Linked DNA regions of Saccharomyces cerevisiae S288C. Changing the gene in region 3 together with the main gene of any one other region gives a genetic interaction. Each region holds a gene or a part of one and is shown on either strand. Other genes may lie near its edges.

Region 1 (6,157 bases), on a different chromosome or scaffold from region 3:
CTGTTTTAGAATGGTGTGGCCATCATTAGAGATGATGATTTCTCCACGAGATGTCTTAATCATCTTGTCCATACCCTTGGGACCCAATGAAGTACGGATGGCATCTGCAACAGAACGTGCAGCGATGATGTTGGCTTTGCGAACCTCTTGAGGTTTTTCCTTGTTCTTAAACGTGGCGTTAGATGGAACTTTAGCAGACATCGTTCTATACTCTCCTTTACCCGTCTTGCACACTTGCCGCACCTCCAATTACAATTCATAACCTTCATGCCCACTTAGCTATATCAACCTCTTGAACTGTATTCAATTAGCCTTTCTTGGTGGCGAAACGAAAAAAATTTCAGTTTCCCCGTGGCAAGTGATAGTAATACCAAATTATATAGCCTTAATTAGGACATATTGATATACCTCATAAACTACAGTCCCGGTGCCAGGATACAAGTTGGCATAAGCTAATGTCGAAAATGTCTAGAATACTAGTTATCGGGGCAGGTGGCGTTGGGGTCATTACTGCGCTTTCGTTGTGGCTTAAGAAGGAGAGCGACGTTTCCTTGGTAGTCAGATCTGACTACGATAGGGTATTGAAGCATGGCTACACAATCGAATCATGTGACTATGGCCGGTTAGAAGGTTGGAGACCCCACCATATTTACAGCAGCGTCGAGGACGCTGCTTCTGCCGCAGACAACCAAGGATACAACTATATTGTAGTGACTACCAAGAACATCATAGATGGGCCCGTTAATTCAAGGGTGTCCAACATCATCAGACCTGTGCTTGAGAAGAATAAAGAGCTACATGGGCCGCAATTGACGACACACATTTTACTGGTACAGAACGGAATCGATATTGAGAAGGAGATATGGGCGGAATTTCCCAGAGAGCAGTATCGTTACACGGTGCTTTCTGGCATCCAGTTAATCGGATCCACTAAGATCGGGTCAGGCCATATCAGTCAAGTGGGCCAGGACCACTTATCGTGTGGAGCTTTTGATCCACAGGACGCTGCTGCTATCCAGGCTGCCAACGACTTCGTCAGGATGTACAGCAACGAGGGGCAAAACTTTGTCGAATTTGACCCTAGGGTCCGTTACTCTCGGTGGAAGAAGTTGCTCTACAATGCAGCTATCAACACATCCACGGCACTTGTGGGGCTAGACGTTCCGCGTTGCCTGGAGTTTGGGGTTAACAAGAAGAGCACAGAAATTGAAGTGTTCCACCCTGCCATGAGGGAGATCATCGCCATTGCGGCGAGTGAAGGCATCATTATCGAAGAGGAGTTCATAACGATGTTTACAGAGATTACCAGGAAAAAGGTGTTCAAGCCATCCATGTGCGTGGACTGCGAGAAGGGCCAATTGATGGAGCTAGAAGTCATCCTAGGCAACCCCATAAGAATCGCGAAAAGAAACGGCGTCGCTACACCCACTCTTTCTATCTTATACAACCTACTTGTGCTAGTACAGGCCAAACTAAAGGAGCGGAAAGGCCTATTGAAGTTCGACGAAAAAACTGCCACTCTTGTGGACGAGTAGTTCCAACCATTGCTTGCCTCGTTGACGAGCCTTCATCTAGTATATTGTAACACATAATTTAGTATGTACTCTTAACTATTATTCTTATTGTCAGCATTTATACGACGTACAGAGCGACCGAAAATTTCGACAACACGAAACGAAATCGACAATTTGCCAACTTGAATAAATAACAGATCCGTCTTCGAGACTGTGACGATTGAGCCTCGATTCAGTAGCATACAGGGACCACAAACTTGTTTGAAGAGGCATTGCAATTAGGTAAATCATAGAATTGGCGAAACCAGCAGGATTTTCCAAACATTTGTTACTTACCCCCTTCTTTGCTTAAGATATAAAGTTTTTTCTTTTTATTTTATCTTCCCTTTACACTTTTGAATAAAAACATTATCATACCTGTTTACAAATTCGCGGTTTATTTAACCTGAAATCAGTATACTTTTTTTCTTCTGTAGTGTCTTTGTTCATTTCATTACTGGATCAAGATGAAGATGTTAACTAAATTTGAATCAAAGTCCACTAGGGCCAAGGGCATTGCCTTCCACCCCTCCAGACCTTGGGTTTTGGTGGCTTTGTTTTCCTCTACTATTCAATTATGGGATTACAGGATGGGAACACTACTTCACAGATTTGAAGACCACGAGGGCCCTGTTCGTGGGCTAGATTTCCATCCAACCCAACCGATTTTTGTTTCGGCAGGTGACGACTATACCATTAAAGTTTGGTCCTTAGATACTAACAAATGTCTATACACCTTAACTGGGCATTTGGATTATGTCCGTACCGTGTTTTTCCACCGTGAGCTGCCTTGGATCATATCTGCTTCTGATGACCAGACCATAAGAATCTGGAACTGGCAAAACCGTAAGGAAATTGCATGTTTGACCGGCCACAATCATTTTGTCATGTGTGCTCAATTTCATCCAACCGATGACCTGATCGTTTCCGCTTCTCTGGATGAAACCATCAGAATTTGGGATATTTCCGGTTTAAGGAAAAGACACTCCGCTCCTGGTACTAGTTCATTTGAGGAGCAAATGAGTGCACAACAAAATCTATTGGATGGCTCTCTTGGTGACTGTGTTGTCAAGTTTATTCTAGAGGGTCACACAAGAGGTGTCAACTGGGCCTCTTTCCATCCAACTTTACCATTGATTGTCTCCGGCAGTGACGACCGTCAAGTTAAATTATGGAGAATGAGTGCTACGAAAGCTTGGGAAGTTGATACTTGCAGAGGTCACACTAACAATGTTGATAGTGTTATCTTTCACCCACATCAAAACTTGATCATTTCTGTCGGTGAAGACAAAACGCTAAGGGTTTGGGATCTTGACAAGAGAACTCCAGTAAAGCAATTCAAAAGAGAAAACGATAGATTTTGGTTGATTGCAGCACATCCTCATATCAATCTATTTGGTGCAGCTCACGATTCTGGTATTATGGTTTTCAAGCTCGATCGCGAAAGACCATGCAGCTTTATCCATCAAAACCAGTTGTTTTTTGTCAATGCGGAAAAGCAAATCCAAAGTTTCAATTTCCAGAAAAGAGTCGCTTCATTACCTTATGCGTCCTTAAAGGGTATTGGTCAACCTTGGGATGCATTCAGAAGTATATCGTACAATCCCTCCCAACATTCAGTTTTGGTTAATGAAGCTAATGGCAAATTTGCTCTCGTTATTTTACCAAAACAACCAGTTGGAGCTGTGGAGCCAACAAGTGTCACCCAAGATACAGGTAATTTTGCTACTTTTGTTGGTCGTAATAGATTTGTTGTTTACAACAAGAACACTGAATCTGTTGAAGTTCGCTCTCTCGAAAACAAAGTTACAAGAAATATCAAAGTAGAGGAAACAGTAAGAACTATTGTAGCTGCAGGTCCTGGATCTGTTTTGGTCATACACCCCAGAGAAGTTATTCTTTATGATGTCCAACAGGGCAAAAAAGTATCCCAATTGGCTGTTAAAAACGTCAAGTACGTTTCGTGGTCCTTAGATGGTCAATATGTTGCATTGATGAGTAAGCACACCATAACTTTGGCTACCAAAAAGCTAGAATTGATTAATTCTATGCATGAAACGATTAGAATCAAAAGTGCCGCTTGGGATGAAACTGGTGTATTAATTTATTCAACTTTAAATCATATAAGGTACTCACTATTGAACGGGGATAGAGGTATTATTAAAACTTTGGAGAAAACTTTATATATCACAAAAGTTCAGGGAAAATTAGTGTACTGCTTGAACCGTGAAGGTGAGATTGAAATTTTAACCATTGATCCTACAGAATATCGCTTCAAAAAGGCCCTGGTTAACAAAAATTTCCCAGAAGTTTTACGTCTGATAAAAGATTCTAATTTGGTTGGCCAGAATATCATTTCCTATCTGCAGAAGTCAGGTTACCCAGAAATTGCTTTACAATTCGTTCAAGACCCACATATCCGTTTTGATTTAGCTTTGGAATACGGTAATTTGGATGTTGCCTTAGATGAAGCCAAAAAACTGAATGATTCTAGTACTTGGGAAAGATTAATCCAAGAAGCCTTGGCACAAGGTAATGCCAGCTTAGCTGAAATGATTTATCAAACTCAACATTCTTTTGACAAACTTTCCTTCCTGTATTTAGTTACAGGTGACGTTAACAAACTATCTAAAATGCAAAATATCGCTCAGACTCGTGAAGACTTTGGAAGTATGCTATTAAACACCTTTTACAACAATTCAACCAAGGAAAGATCTAGCATTTTTGCAGAGGGCGGCTCTTTACCATTAGCTTATGCCGTAGCAAAGGCTAACGGAGATGAAGCGGCTGCTTCTGCTTTCTTGGAGCAAGCTGAAGTTGATGAACAAGATGTTACTTTACCAGACCAGATGGATGCCTCCAACTTCGTTCAAAGACCAGTGATCTCAAAGCCACTTGAAAAATGGCCATTAAAAGAGGCTGAACTATCTTACTTTGAAAAGGCTGTTTTAGGTCAAATTGACGATTTGACTATAGACGATGAAACTCCAGCAGTAAACACCACTCAAGAGCAAGAAGAACCACTAGGCGAAGAAAACTTTAACGATGAGGATATTGGTGAAGACGAAGGTGCCTGGGATTTGGGTGACGAAGATTTGGATGTGGGAGAAGAGTTACCTGAAGAAGTTGAGCAAGGCGAAATTACCTCTCCAGCACAGGAAGTTGAAACAGCCATTTGGATCAAGAATTCTAAACTGCCTGCTGTCCTAGTTGCCGCTGGTGCCTTTGATGCCGCTGTTCAAGCCTTGAGCAAGCAAGTGGGTGTAGTCAAGCTGGAGCCATTGAAGAAATATTTTACCAACATTTATGAGGGTTGTAGAACATACATTCCTAGTACGCCCTGTGAACTTCCTGCTCAATTAGGTTATGTCAGAGCGTATGATGATACCGTAAGTGAAGATCAAATTCTTCCTTACGTGCCAGGTCTTGATGTCGTTAATGAAAAAATGAATGAGGGTTACAAAAACTTTAAACTAAACAAACCAGATATTGCAATCGAATGCTTCAGAGAAGCTATCTACCGTATTACGCTATTAATGGTCGATGATGCTGAAGATGAAAAATTAGCACACAAGATACTGGAAACTGCTAGGGAGTATATATTAGGTTTATCCATTGAATTGGAACGCCGCTCATTAAAGGAGGGAAATACTGTACGCATGCTTGAGCTAGCTGCATACTTTACAAAGGCAAAACTATCCCCAATTCATCGTACCAATGCTTTACAAGTGGCTATGTCCCAACATTTCAAACACAAAAATTTCTTACAGGCCTCATATTTTGCCGGTGAATTTTTAAAGATTATTTCTTCTGGTCCTCGTGCAGAACAAGCACGTAAAATCAAAAACAAAGCCGACTCAATGGCCAGTGACGCCATTCCAATTGACTTTGATCCTTATGCTAAATTCGATATTTGTGCAGCCACCTACAAACCAATTTATGAAGATACACCTTCCGTTTCTGACCCATTAACAGGTAGTAAATACGTTATCACGGAAAAAGATAAAATAGATAGAATTGCTATGATTTCTAAGATCGGTGCACCTGCATCCGGATTAAGAATACGTGTATAAATGCTATTTTGCCTATTGATTTTCTCGGGATTGTATTCTGCTCGACCTAAATTTCATGTGACAAGTCCTTTTAATCTAAACAATATGATAGTGAAAAAAAAAAACTGACTATGTAATTAACAGTTATATACAACTTCTAAAATAAAAAATATCGCCTATTTTAACAAGTGACACACAACCTGAAATTCTGCCAGCATGTATTCGGAAGCAACCCGAACTTTAGTTTTATAGTTACGATTGTTGCATTTGTATATAAAAAGTACAATGTGTCATTAGATACTGCAGTGAGTAGAAGAAGAAATGGTCGGAAGAACCACATTAATGCAAGAAGAAATAATGCTTTACTTATTTTGGAGTTCCACATTTTCTTGATGGAGGAGGAGGAGGAGGCGGAGGCGGAGCTTTAGCCTTTCTTTTAGTCAAAGATTCTGCAGAAACATCTAATTCACGATTACTATAAAGATGGCCTTTACGAGCCAAGATATTTTGATTGTCGGGCGTCCCCAATGCAACAATGCTAGAGTTTCTACT
Region 2 (3,707 bases), on a different chromosome or scaffold from region 3:
GAATGAACCCATACAACCTTCAAGCAGTCTATTGAGTCAATTGACACAGGACACCGATAATCGATCAATGCTCTCCAATCACATCTCATCGAACAACGAAAACAAGCAACAGCCTTCTTCATATTCACATGCTTTACCTACAACTGCTACTGCTAATGCAACAGCAACAGCAACAGCAACTAATGGTCACTCAAGGTCAAATTTATGGACCACCGCACAATTCGCTCAACCTTCGCATCAACAAGTATCTACAGAATTGGATCAAGCTTTTGAATACGATAATGCAAACCACTTAATCAGTGGTTTGCAAAATATGATCTACGACGAAACAGACTATCCTGATAACATAAGCAATTATTCCAAGGGTTTTACTACAGACGAACTTGACAATTACTGGACTAAGCAGCAACCCCAGGTGCGCAGCACAAATGAAAGTCTTTTCTCTACGACTGGAACACCTATGTCATCATATAAGGCTAACCCAGTAATATCTCCATATTCTAGTTCTCATTTGCGACAAACCTCCAACGCAACCAATACGAATCCTATGCATCCACAGAGTCTACTCGCCGCTACATTGAATGATCCTTCATTACAAAGTTTTGTACGCAGTGGTTCTTTCTACAGTGCTCCGCAACCTGCAAACTCCTTACAGAACAATATCAATGGCAATGAAACCGAGAACATTAGTCCAAGGATATCAAGTGACTTCAATTTATTGGTGCCAAACTTGAGCCCACGACTCTCAAACGATGTGCCCATTGTTCCAGGCAATAACACTACTTTAACACCTTCACACTCGAACATATTAACAATGAACCATCAACCAACGGCGGATAACATTACACGAAGATCTTTCCATGCCTCTTCACCACCTTTCAACTCCATATGGAATTCAAATACAAATCAACTTTCTCCTCCATTGGAGGAGCAGTATCACCTCGATGTGCCTGTGGGTCCAAAGGTTCCCGCTAAAGAACCAAGCCCTAAGCCTTCTCACAAGAGGAACCAAAGTAACAGCAGCATTTCTTCTGCATGGTCCAAGTTTAAGCACAAGTCTGCATCATCACCTGCTAATGCGGACACGGATATTCAAGATTCATCAACTCCATCAACTAGTCCAAGCGGTAGAAGAATGTCAAAACTGTTGTCCAAGAGCGGTATGAATAATCTATTTAACCCGCACAGTCACGACTCATGAACAATATTATAATACTTCCAGGTCGTGTATATATGTAGATATATAAATTATGAAACATAATATATGAAAGCAGTTTGAGCTTATTCTTAATCATCAATAGGGTAACGGTATTAATCTCATTTTTTCTTTTTTTTTTTCTTTTTATTTTGGCGTCTCGTCTCAATTTCATTTTTCCCATCTTTTTACAACTTCAATATGAAAAACATAACACATGAAAAATAACTGTCAACATTAATAATATTCCTTGCATAGTGCTTCGATTTTCCAAATATAAAAACAGTTTCTTTTACAAGCTTATTTAATTTTGGTTTTAAGGAGAAAGCACTAATAAAAAGGGCAAGGACTGCAATCAACAATCTTTATTGGCGAACAGTTAAGGGTCCTCTCGAGAAGAAACATTAAGACATCATCGCACAAAAAACATGGCGCCCATCTTTAGAAATTACCGGTTCGCTATCGGTGCTTTTGCCGTTATTATGCTCATTTTGTTGATTAAAACATCTTCCATCGGTCCACCTTCTATTGCACGTACAGTTACTCCTAATGCTAGTATTCCCAAAACTCCGGAGGACATCTCTATCTTGCCCGTCAATGATGAACCAGGTTACCTTCAAGATTCGAAGACTGAACAAAACTATCCTGAGCTTGCCGATGCTGTGAAGTCACAAACAAGTCAAACATGCAGCGAAGAACATAAGTATGTTATCATGATCGATGCCGGCTCTACCGGTTCCCGAGTACATATATACAAGTTTGACGTCTGTACTTCCCCACCTACATTACTTGATGAAAAATTCGACATGTTAGAGCCTGGTTTATCTTCTTTCGATACCGATTCCGTTGGTGCCGCTAACTCCCTTGACCCATTACTGAAAGTAGCAATGAACTATGTCCCTATTAAGGCAAGAAGTTGTACTCCCGTTGCGGTGAAAGCTACTGCAGGCCTAAGACTCTTGGGTGATGCCAAATCTTCAAAAATTTTGAGCGCTGTAAGGGATCATTTGGAGAAGGACTATCCTTTCCCAGTTGTCGAAGGTGATGGTGTTTCCATCATGGGCGGTGATGAAGAAGGTGTCTTCGCCTGGATTACTACAAACTACCTATTAGGTAATATCGGTGCTAATGGCCCCAAGTTACCTACTGCTGCCGTTTTTGACTTAGGCGGAGGGTCTACACAAATTGTTTTTGAGCCTACTTTCCCAATAAATGAAAAAATGGTCGATGGTGAGCATAAATTTGATTTGAAGTTTGGTGATGAAAATTACACCTTGTACCAATTTTCTCATCTAGGTTACGGTTTGAAGGAAGGAAGAAATAAAGTTAACTCTGTTCTTGTGGAAAATGCATTAAAAGACGGCAAAATATTGAAGGGTGATAACACTAAGACTCATCAATTGTCATCTCCATGCCTACCGCCTAAAGTTAATGCCACAAATGAAAAGGTTACATTAGAATCCAAGGAAACTTATACCATTGACTTTATAGGGCCGGACGAGCCAAGTGGTGCACAATGTAGATTTCTGACTGATGAAATTTTGAATAAAGATGCTCAGTGCCAGTCTCCACCATGCTCTTTCAATGGGGTTCACCAACCTTCTTTAGTTCGTACATTCAAAGAATCGAACGATATCTATATTTTCTCTTATTTCTACGACAGAACCCGTCCATTGGGTATGCCCTTGTCCTTTACTTTGAATGAATTGAACGATTTGGCAAGAATAGTGTGTAAAGGCGAAGAAACTTGGAATAGTGTCTTCAGTGGCATTGCGGGGTCCCTAGATGAATTGGAAAGTGACTCGCACTTCTGTTTGGACTTATCTTTTCAAGTGTCCTTATTACATACGGGATATGACATTCCATTACAAAGAGAATTGAGAACTGGAAAGAAAATTGCCAATAAAGAAATCGGTTGGTGTTTAGGTGCGTCATTACCATTGTTGAAAGCTGATAACTGGAAATGTAAAATTCAATCAGCTTGAATAAGAACATGGACACCGCTTTTCGTCCCATGTATATTAAGGAAGAGGAGATTGCGGTGATATGTATTCTGTTATATGTCCTATTCTATAACCCTTGAACAATATGTAAACGATTTTTACGTTATGAAAATCACTATTATCCCCACAATAGTTTATTATAACACCGCCGCCAAGACAGGGGATTGAAAAGGCCTTCCGAGGTTTATCCATTTTTGGTAAAAGCCCGCCACGCCTTCAGGTGTTTGAGTATGAACTGGAAGAGTTATCTGTTAGGACCTCATAATCTTGAACATATGAGATAATTTAATATACTTTTGTTATGGATTGTTCCGTTGTTTTAAGACTATATGGCTTTGTTTTAGTTTTAGGGTGATTGTGGATATCACACCGGTCCTCAAGAAAATCGAAAACAAAAGGATAATCGGACTTATCTGGTGATCGAAGAAACTGCATTTCAGGTCGTTTAATAAACTGCTAGCTATTGATATTATATATATAAATAAACCTACAATCAGGTTAGTGTATTC
Region 3 (5,291 bases):
TTCTTCCTCAGAGACGCTATTAAGTTTCCCGTATTTATTCATTCGCAAAAGAGAGACCCTCAGTCTCATCTGAATCAGTTTCAGGACACTACCATATACTGGGATTATCTAACATTGAATCCGGAATCAATCCATCAAATAACTTACATGTTTGGTGATAGAGGTACTCCTGCTTCGTGGGCTAGTATGAACGCGTACTCTGGTCATTCCTTCATCATGGTCAACAAAGAAGGTAAGGACACATATGTGCAATTCCACGTCTTGTCGGATACTGGTTTTGAAACCTTGACTGGAGATAAGGCTGCTGAACTGTCAGGCTCCCACCCTGATTATAATCAGGCAAAGCTGTTCACTCAATTGCAAAATGGCGAAAAGCCAAAATTTAACTGTTATGTGCAAACAATGACACCCGAACAAGCAACTAAGTTCAGGTATTCGGTAAATGACCTAACGAAAATATGGCCACACAAGGAATTCCCTTTGAGAAAATTTGGTACCATCACCCTAACGGAGAATGTTGACAATTATTTCCAAGAAATTGAACAAGTTGCATTCAGTCCAACGAACACTTGTATCCCAGGTATTAAGCCTTCTAATGATTCCGTTCTACAAGCCAGACTTTTCTCCTATCCAGACACTCAACGTCATAGATTGGGAGCCAACTATCAGCAATTGCCCGTCAACAGACCAAGAAACTTGGGATGTCCATACTCCAAAGGTGATTCCCAATACACTGCCGAACAGTGTCCATTTAAAGCAGTGAACTTCCAAAGGGACGGCCCAATGAGTTACTACAATTTCGGTCCTGAGCCAAATTATATTTCCAGTTTACCAAATCAAACTCTGAAATTCAAAAATGAAGACAACGACGAAGTATCTGATAAGTTCAAAGGGATAGTTCTTGACGAAGTAACAGAAGTTTCTGTGAGAAAACAGGAACAAGACCAAATCAGAAACGAGCATATTGTTGATGCCAAAATTAATCAATATTACTACGTTTATGGTATTAGTCCACTAGACTTCGAACAGCCAAGAGCTCTATATGAAAAGGTATACAACGATGAACAGAAGAAATTATTCGTTCATAACGTTGTTTGCCACGCTTGTAAGATCAAAGATCCTAAAGTCAAAAAGAGAGTTACGCAATACTTTGGTTTGCTAAACGAAGATTTGGGTAAAGTCATTGCAGAATGCTTGGGAGTTCCTTGGGAACCTGTTGACCTTGAAGGTTATGCCAAGACTTGGTCCATTGCAAGTGCCAATTAAGGCAGCACTATTTATTCATAATTATTCGTAATTATATCTCCATAATTATTTATTCATAAGTTTTCTTTAAGTTTATTCTCTACATCACTAGTTATTACAAATTGGTCGTATGTACAAGCACTAATATTTCATACTTATCGTACTTCATACATAGCAAATCCTGTTAGGAAAAATATGGCAGCAAAACAGATTGGCTGCCTACTTTTGACACATTTTTTTCTAATTCGGTACTTAGATCGGCATGAACTCAACGATTATCGCATTATACGGACAATCTGAAAAAAAAAAGTAGCCTAACTTATGCAGTTGTGTGTTTATAACGTTGAATTCCTAAACCTCTTGAAGGTGTAATATAACAAGTAACATAACTAGGTTTTCACAACTCGTTAGTTTCTATTAAAAGAGGAATAAACAAATTTTATTAGGACTAAGAGGATTATACAGAGTACCAGCAGAGAAAACTTTAAATTCTTTCTGTTATAATAATATCTTACCAAAGTTTTTTGTTTTCTATCTCCACATTTTTCGTACCATCTCTTTAGGTAATCACTCTGAATAACTTTTATTCATATACACCCCAATATTTTTTAAGATTCCACCTATCTCCGTTACATAAAAGGATCCATGCACAATTTTCATGGAGGAACAATTTACTAATCAGAAGAAAGTATCACATCTACAGTCATTAATGAACACTAAAAGGAGTGAACAGCCCACCGAATTTGCCAAAAAACATAGGTTTAAAGATACGCTTGCATTGTTCCTGGTTTTTTTGAGTTTTAACCACTTCACTTCCCTATGTTTATTGGTTTCCTTTATTGTTGCTACCAAATGCAAAGATTTTCTGGCAAATTGTTTTATTATACTTTTCCTATCGAAAAAACCTTCCCGCCATATCGGTGAAGTGGCGCACATAGATATAAGTACTTCCAAAGTGACCAATGGTAGTTCAAACCGAAAATCTAATTCACGATTTTTTGGCAATTCAAAAAATAGCTTCGTCATTCCGATCCCCGTATTAATTTGTGAAATTTTATTTGCAATGTTACTAAAGATTTACGGTGGCGATTATTTTGTTAAGCCAATAAAAAATCTGGCAATTTCTATTATTGCCTCATTTTTGATCAATGATCCAAGCGATTGCTTAAGCTATGCAACTTCATGCTCAGTATTGTATGCTGTGTCAACTAACACTTTTCAAAGAGTGTCACACTTCTTTGACATTATACAGTTATTTGATATGTCTTTACGAGGAACCGGCCAATCAATTAAATTATTCACGGTTTTTCGCAAGTATTCACAGTTTTTCAAAAAGCTTTTCTCTCTATTTTTGCCAATGCCTTTCAAGATGCTTGGCAAACATTCAGACAGTATGATTTATTATCTATCCTTTCACATCCTTTTTTTCTCATTTGCTTCAAGTTTATTACACCCTCATAGACAAACAGCGGAAAACAAGCCATTGAAAAAGGGTTTCAATTCAACTAAACCAGATGTAGCCCGTGTTCAAGGTCTGCAAAAGATGAGAATTTCTTCTTCTTCTTCCGTTTCTGCCGATTCGAACACTTTAGAGGACCAAAGTCCTATGATACCGAACGATCCAGGTGGACTTAGCAGCAGCAATCAAACTATCCATCCATCCCAACAAAATAACTCGCCAGTTCCCCTATCATCACACAGTAATATTTTGAACCCTGCCGCCTCTTATCCTACTGATGCTACTTCTAGTTTTCCCTATTTCACTTCTATGGTCAAGGAATATAAGTCATATCAGCCATCGGTAATCTCTGCTGAAGGAAGCAATTCTCAAGCCGTTACTACTACTACCAGTACAACAACCTCTCCTACAACGTTCAACTTTTCTGGTGATAACACTAGTTTGTCAAATGAAATCTCTCTATCTGATTCCTCGAATGGAAATTCGAAAAAGGATTCTGATTTCTTTTCCCCTTCCAATGACAAGTATACTAACCAACTGTTTGAACTGAATGTTGATTTTGGGAACATGTTTTCTTCTAGCAAATTATCTTCAGACATATCTGTTACATCAAACTTGGAAAATTTTATCCGTCTTCTATTCAGAAGAAAGAATCAACACTTGATTGCACCTCTTTGGTCTATGGTAGTTACATTAAAAACAACGAATTTTGAAAAAAAATACTTACAAGAAACCTCTGAAAATTCACTAACACCAACAAATTCGAATACTTCATACGTCAGTAATCAGGAAAAACATGACAAAGATTTGGACACGATTAATACACATTCAGTTTCATCAAGAATTAGTTTCACCCATGCCGGAAAGTTTAAGAAGAGCGTGTTTAACAATTTCGAACCTTCAAATACTATGGCCCTGATTGCAAAGACAACATCTGATGACTACAATCTTTTAAATTTAGTTTCCACCAATGAAAATATTTTCAATAGAAATGATAATGACTACAAAGTTTGCATTATTGATATTAGCACAAACTCTATTACATTCCATATTGAAAATTTACATGATGGCGAACTCATTGTTTTAGTAAACGGTGTTATCTGGTCAGAAGTTTCTTGCGCTTTAATTTTAGAGCATGTAGGCGAAGAATACGTTGTCGTTAACGGATTAGTCCCTTCTTGTTCTTATGATATTCAATTCATCAACAGACTAAATCACCGAGATGATTATTTGGTTTCTGATTTAATTGTAAGGACTTGTGGGAATAACAATGCGATTGCCGGAAAATTTGAAAACCTTGATTTCAGCTTCCCTTCATACTACCATAGGAAATTCTTATCTCCGTTGCTAACTCTGAAGCATTCCGTGCTAACTACAAACGCAAATTTGTCCGATGAAAGGACAAAATTGAAAAAGACAAAAAAGGAATTCAGCAAGAAGTTAAGTCTTTTGAGACAAGAAATTGATTATTTTAAAGGCAGGATTTCACAGAACGCAACACATGACGAAAAGAGCACTTTAAAAGTCGAAAATTTGAAGGTTGCCCTACAGCAAAGTGAGACTGCGGTAAATAAGTTAGAGATGCAATTGAAAACTCTCACTGAAAAAGAGCTTGAATTAGAAGAGGAATACTTGAAAAAGAAAGATCTACACTTGAAAAATCAATTAGAGTTCAGTAAGTTAGAAGAAAGCTTATCGAAAGACCTGAAAAACTCAGAAGGGAGGTTCCAAAAGGTCAATCAAGAATTAGTTCAACTAGGCTCTAAACTGGACAAATTGAACGCGAGAAACGAGAAGTTACAAAAGGAGGTCGATCAGAACGCAGAAGAGATAGAAAAGTTCAGTACTCAATTTTTGAGTAAAAGAGAAAAGGATAGATTTAGAAGAAAGGAGTACAGGATACGCGAAGCCAATAAATTTGAATTGACTATAAAGGGGTTAGAGCAAGATATCAACAGATTAGAAAATGAGAATGAAAATATACATAGTCTAATTGGTAATAGTTACTGATGGAAGATTAGAAAACAAAGATAGATAAGAATTCGTTTTGTAGCATCCTAAAATTTACTTCTATTGAATATATACATGTATTTATTACTTGGACGTTCTACTTTAAATGTAGTCAGTCGTTTTTTTCTCGATATTGTTTTTTTATTGTTTCCTAATAACTTCATTTGTTACTTTTTTGCCTTTTGTTATTTATGGAAATAATGCAGGTTAACATAAGTAAACATAAAATATGAGAAAAACTAAGAATGTTTGCTGATGTATTGAACAGTTCACATCGTTGTGTCTACTATTAACACTAAGTTGTTGATCAAAACATTCCCTAATTAATAGCTGCCCCAGGACTTGGAAGGCCACACTACTCTCCATGACATCAAAGATACGGCCCAAATAATCTGTATCCTCGATATGAACTTAGGACCACATATTTGGAGCTTGTCCAAAATACTAAAATGGCAGATAACAATTAGATGGTTCCAATTCAAATACATTACAAGCTACGAAAACTAATATTCTATAATTTATACTAAGTTCATGGAAAGAATTGCAATGGATTGAGGTTTCTAACGAGGTTATCACT
Region 4 (3,136 bases), on a different chromosome or scaffold from region 3:
AAGTCATTTTTCAAGGACTCGAATAGAAATTCAATATAGGATAAGTCACTTACAAGCTCAAAATCTCTTTTCAAGATATCACCCAATGTTTCATATTGCAGCTGTCTCTGCAGAATGGCTGTATTGAAAGCTGGGGTCTGAGGCCCCAATTGTAACTTCGGCCAACCTTCGGCATGAAGATTATTTCTAATCAAGGAAACAATACAAGTGGAAAAGTCTGTTGATGAAGGTGATGAAGAAGCAGGATTTAAATTTTTGTAATTTAATTTTGCTACGTGTCGAATAAAAGAAAGAGTCAAAGATCTAAGTTTATACTCAGATGAATGCAATCCAATAGAGCAAATCAACGAAATACATTCTGCTTTGGTGGTGGCGAAGTGACTTCTGTTTAATATGGACAGGATTTTTTCTTGCAAGATAGCCTTGACCGGCGGTCTTCCATTTGCTGTGTTGCCGATGTACAGCGTCTGAAGAAAGGTGATGAACTCTTCGTTTTCATAAGGCATGGGAAACCGTTTCATGAACTGAGCCGCATCATCAGATAAATTTGTAGAATCCGTAGAGACAACGCACAAAAATTCCATCAGTTCAATCATCCTAGGTGACTGCTCAATAGTTTGGGTAGCCGCCATGCCACGGCAAACAAATTGAAAAATAGCCTTTTTGAACTTATTCAGCTGTTCTTTGTTGAAAGTAACGCCCGCATCATAAGTAAAGAATGCCACATCAGTTAGAGATAGGCCCGGACATGTGTAACCTCTCGACAGGGGCTGTTGAGAAACCTGGACTTGCTTTGAAGGTACCAGCAGAAAAAACCTGGTAAATTGGCGCATCAAAAACGAAAAACCGTCGTTGTCCAGTTGAAGGAACTGAACAAATTCTTCCTGCTCATGTGAAGACTCCTGGGGTGCAACCCATTCCAAAATAAGCTTCAAAAGGATGTGGAACATTCTGGCGGCTACTGTGCCTGTTAGACACGAGATGTTCGAAACGACTAACGGTAGCAACTGCTGTCTATCTTGCAAGGAAAGCCTATCTATGCCTTTAGACGCCAGTAGCAGACTGTAAAGGCGGACATTGGTCGAGTCTTGTTGAGCGGCTAAATTGGGTTCCTTTGCTTGGACAATAAGCGCCCTCACAGGAAGCTGAACCTGGGGCAGCGTATTTATCCTAGAAATGAGGTTTTTTAAGGCTGAAAATACTGCTGTTCTAACGGAGGCATGTGGAGAGGCGAGTTTTAGTAATAATGGAGGCAAAAAAGTCTGCAGATTAGTTTCGAACTTTTGAGGGGAATCTGCGATAGCCAGGCGCAATTCTGCCTTCTCCACGAGCTGTTTTTCTTTCGCTTCGTCAGAAGAAATGGACATAATGTTGTTCGTGGTGAAATAGAAACTTTTCTATAATTATTGTATTATCCAATCCTGCACAAAGACAAAGAGATCAGTTATCGAGAGCTTACCAGCTTCTTTATATCAGGAAGTACCTTTTTTTTGCCACCAAGAAAAGGCATATGGATATACCGGGTAACACATAAATACCAAAACTCTGGCGGCTAAACTGGTAAAACCTGATATATACAAAGATCAAATAAGTATAAAAGCTTTCAAAGATGCTTATGAAAAATCTCACGAGATTGGTAGTTACTGATCAGGCACAAACTCCGCAGCCAAAACAATATTTTGAAAATATGTGAGCATTCAGCAAGAGACCTTCAACTGCTCCGAATGTGCATTTCACAGCAATGCAACAAAAGTCAATGACACTTGCAAACCCAGTGTAAGACGCCTACTCTTGTTCAATCAGTTAGTTATCTTTGTTCAATAGTGTGGTTGGTAACCAAATTTTCTAGGCGTTGTTGAAAATAAAGAGAACGAAAAACAAAAAAAAAGAGATAAAAAGACAAGGAAAAAATAAACTAACTAGACACAGGGAAAAGCCCAATTCCAGACAAGCAACCACACCACATGAGCTCACAACCGTCTTTCGTCACCATAAGGGGCAAGGCCATTTCTCTAGAAACACAAACGGAGTCACTTCTTTCCAAGTACTCCACATTCGCGCAGACAACTAGTTCAGAACAAACTGGCCAAGAAAAGAAGATAGACAAGCAGTTGGAGGGAATCTTAGGCCAGAGACAGGATGTAATCGATTCATTAACACAAATCTGCGATTCTAACCCGGCAATCTCCGCCTCAAAGCTTTCCCAACTGCACCGCCACAAGGAGATCTTACAAGACCACTGGAAGAGCTTCCGCAATATCAGGTCCTCCATCCAGCAAGAGCGCAACAGACTAAACTTGTTATTCAGCGTGAAGAACGATATTGCTAATTCCACAACGGACGCGCCAGCTCCTATAGGGGATGCTGACGAGTACATTCAGAACGAAACAAGGCGAATCGATCAGTCCAACAACGTAGTCGACCGTCTCATCTCCCAAGCCTGGGAGACTCGGTCGCAGTTCCACTCGCAGAGCAACGTGCTGAACACGGCAAACAACAAGGTGTTGCAAACTTTACAAAGAATACCAGGTGTCAATCAGCTTATTATGAAGATTAACACGAGAAGGAAGAAAAACGCGTTTGTATTGGCCACGATAACCACCCTTTGTATACTGTTTTTGTTTTTCACATGGTAAATAACGACTTTTATTAAACAACGTATGTAAAAACATAACAAGAATCTACCCATACAGGCCATTTCGTAATTCTTCTCTTCTAATTGGAGTAAAACCATCAATTAAAGGGTGTGGAGTAGCATAGTGAGGGGCTGACTGCATTGACAAAAAAATTGAAAAAAAAAAAAGGAAAAGGAAAGGAAAAAAAGACAGCCAAGACTTTTAGAACGGATAAGGTGTAATAAAATGTGGGGGGATGCCTGTTCTCGAACCATATAAAATATACCATGTGGTTTGAGTTGTGGCCGGAACTATACAAATAGTTATATGTTTCCCTCTCTCTTCCGACTTGTAGTATTCTCCAAACGTTACATATTCCGATCAAGCCAGCGCCTTTACACTAGTTTAAAACAAGAACAGAGCCGTATGTCCAAAATAATGGAAGATTTACGAAGTGACTACGTCCCGCTTATCGCCAGTATTGATGTAGGAACGACCTCATCCAGATGCATTCTGTTCAA

Evidence for each region.
Region 1: mutations in NNF2 (region 3) and COP1 together harm fitness more than expected from each alone (negative genetic interaction), as found in Saccharomyces cerevisiae (3 studies listed by BioGRID).
Region 2: mutations in NNF2 (region 3) and GDA1 together harm fitness more than expected from each alone (negative genetic interaction), as found in Saccharomyces cerevisiae (3 studies listed by BioGRID).
Region 4: mutations in NNF2 (region 3) and GOS1 together harm fitness more than expected from each alone (negative genetic interaction), as found in Saccharomyces cerevisiae (3 studies listed by BioGRID).

Annotation. Positions count from the first base shown.
Region 1 is NC_001136.10:194,040-200,196, reverse strand, and holds COP1 (coatomer subunit alpha), read left to right. Parts: upstream 1-2,020; coding exon 2,021-5,626; downstream 5,627-6,157. Other genes in the region: chaperonin-containing T-complex subunit CCT4, read right to left, coding at 1-201; YDL144C (uncharacterized protein), read left to right, coding at 465-1,535; LDB17 (Ldb17p), read right to left, coding at 5,972-6,157. UniProt on the Saccharomyces cerevisiae protein: The coatomer is a cytosolic protein complex that binds to dilysine motifs and reversibly associates with Golgi non-clathrin-coated vesicles, which further mediate biosynthetic protein transport from the ER, via the Golgi up to the trans Golgi network.
Region 2 is NC_001137.3:72,148-75,854, forward strand, and holds GDA1 (guanosine diphosphatase), read left to right. Parts: upstream 1-1,623; coding exon 1,624-3,180; downstream 3,181-3,707. Other genes in the region: GTA1 (Gta1p), read left to right, coding at 1-1,201. UniProt on the Saccharomyces cerevisiae protein: After transfer of sugars to endogenous macromolecular acceptors, the enzyme converts nucleoside diphosphates to nucleoside monophosphates which in turn exit the Golgi lumen in a coupled antiporter reaction, allowing entry of additional nucleotide sugar from the cytosol.
Region 3 is NC_001139.9:655,057-660,347, forward strand, and holds NNF2 (Nnf2p), read left to right. Parts: upstream 1-1,903; coding exon 1,904-4,714; downstream 4,715-5,291. Other genes in the region: CTT1 (catalase T), read left to right, coding at 1-1,266.
Region 4 is NC_001140.6:38,315-41,450, reverse strand, and holds GOS1 (Gos1p), read left to right. Parts: upstream 1-1,964; coding exon 1,965-2,636; downstream 2,637-3,136. Other genes in the region: ECM29 (Ecm29p), read right to left, coding at 1-1,367; GUT1 (glycerol kinase), read left to right, coding at 2,943-3,136. UniProt on the Saccharomyces cerevisiae protein: Involved in transport from the ER to the Golgi apparatus as well as in intra-Golgi transport. It belongs to a super-family of proteins called t-SNAREs or soluble NSF (N-ethylmaleimide-sensitive factor) attachment protein receptor.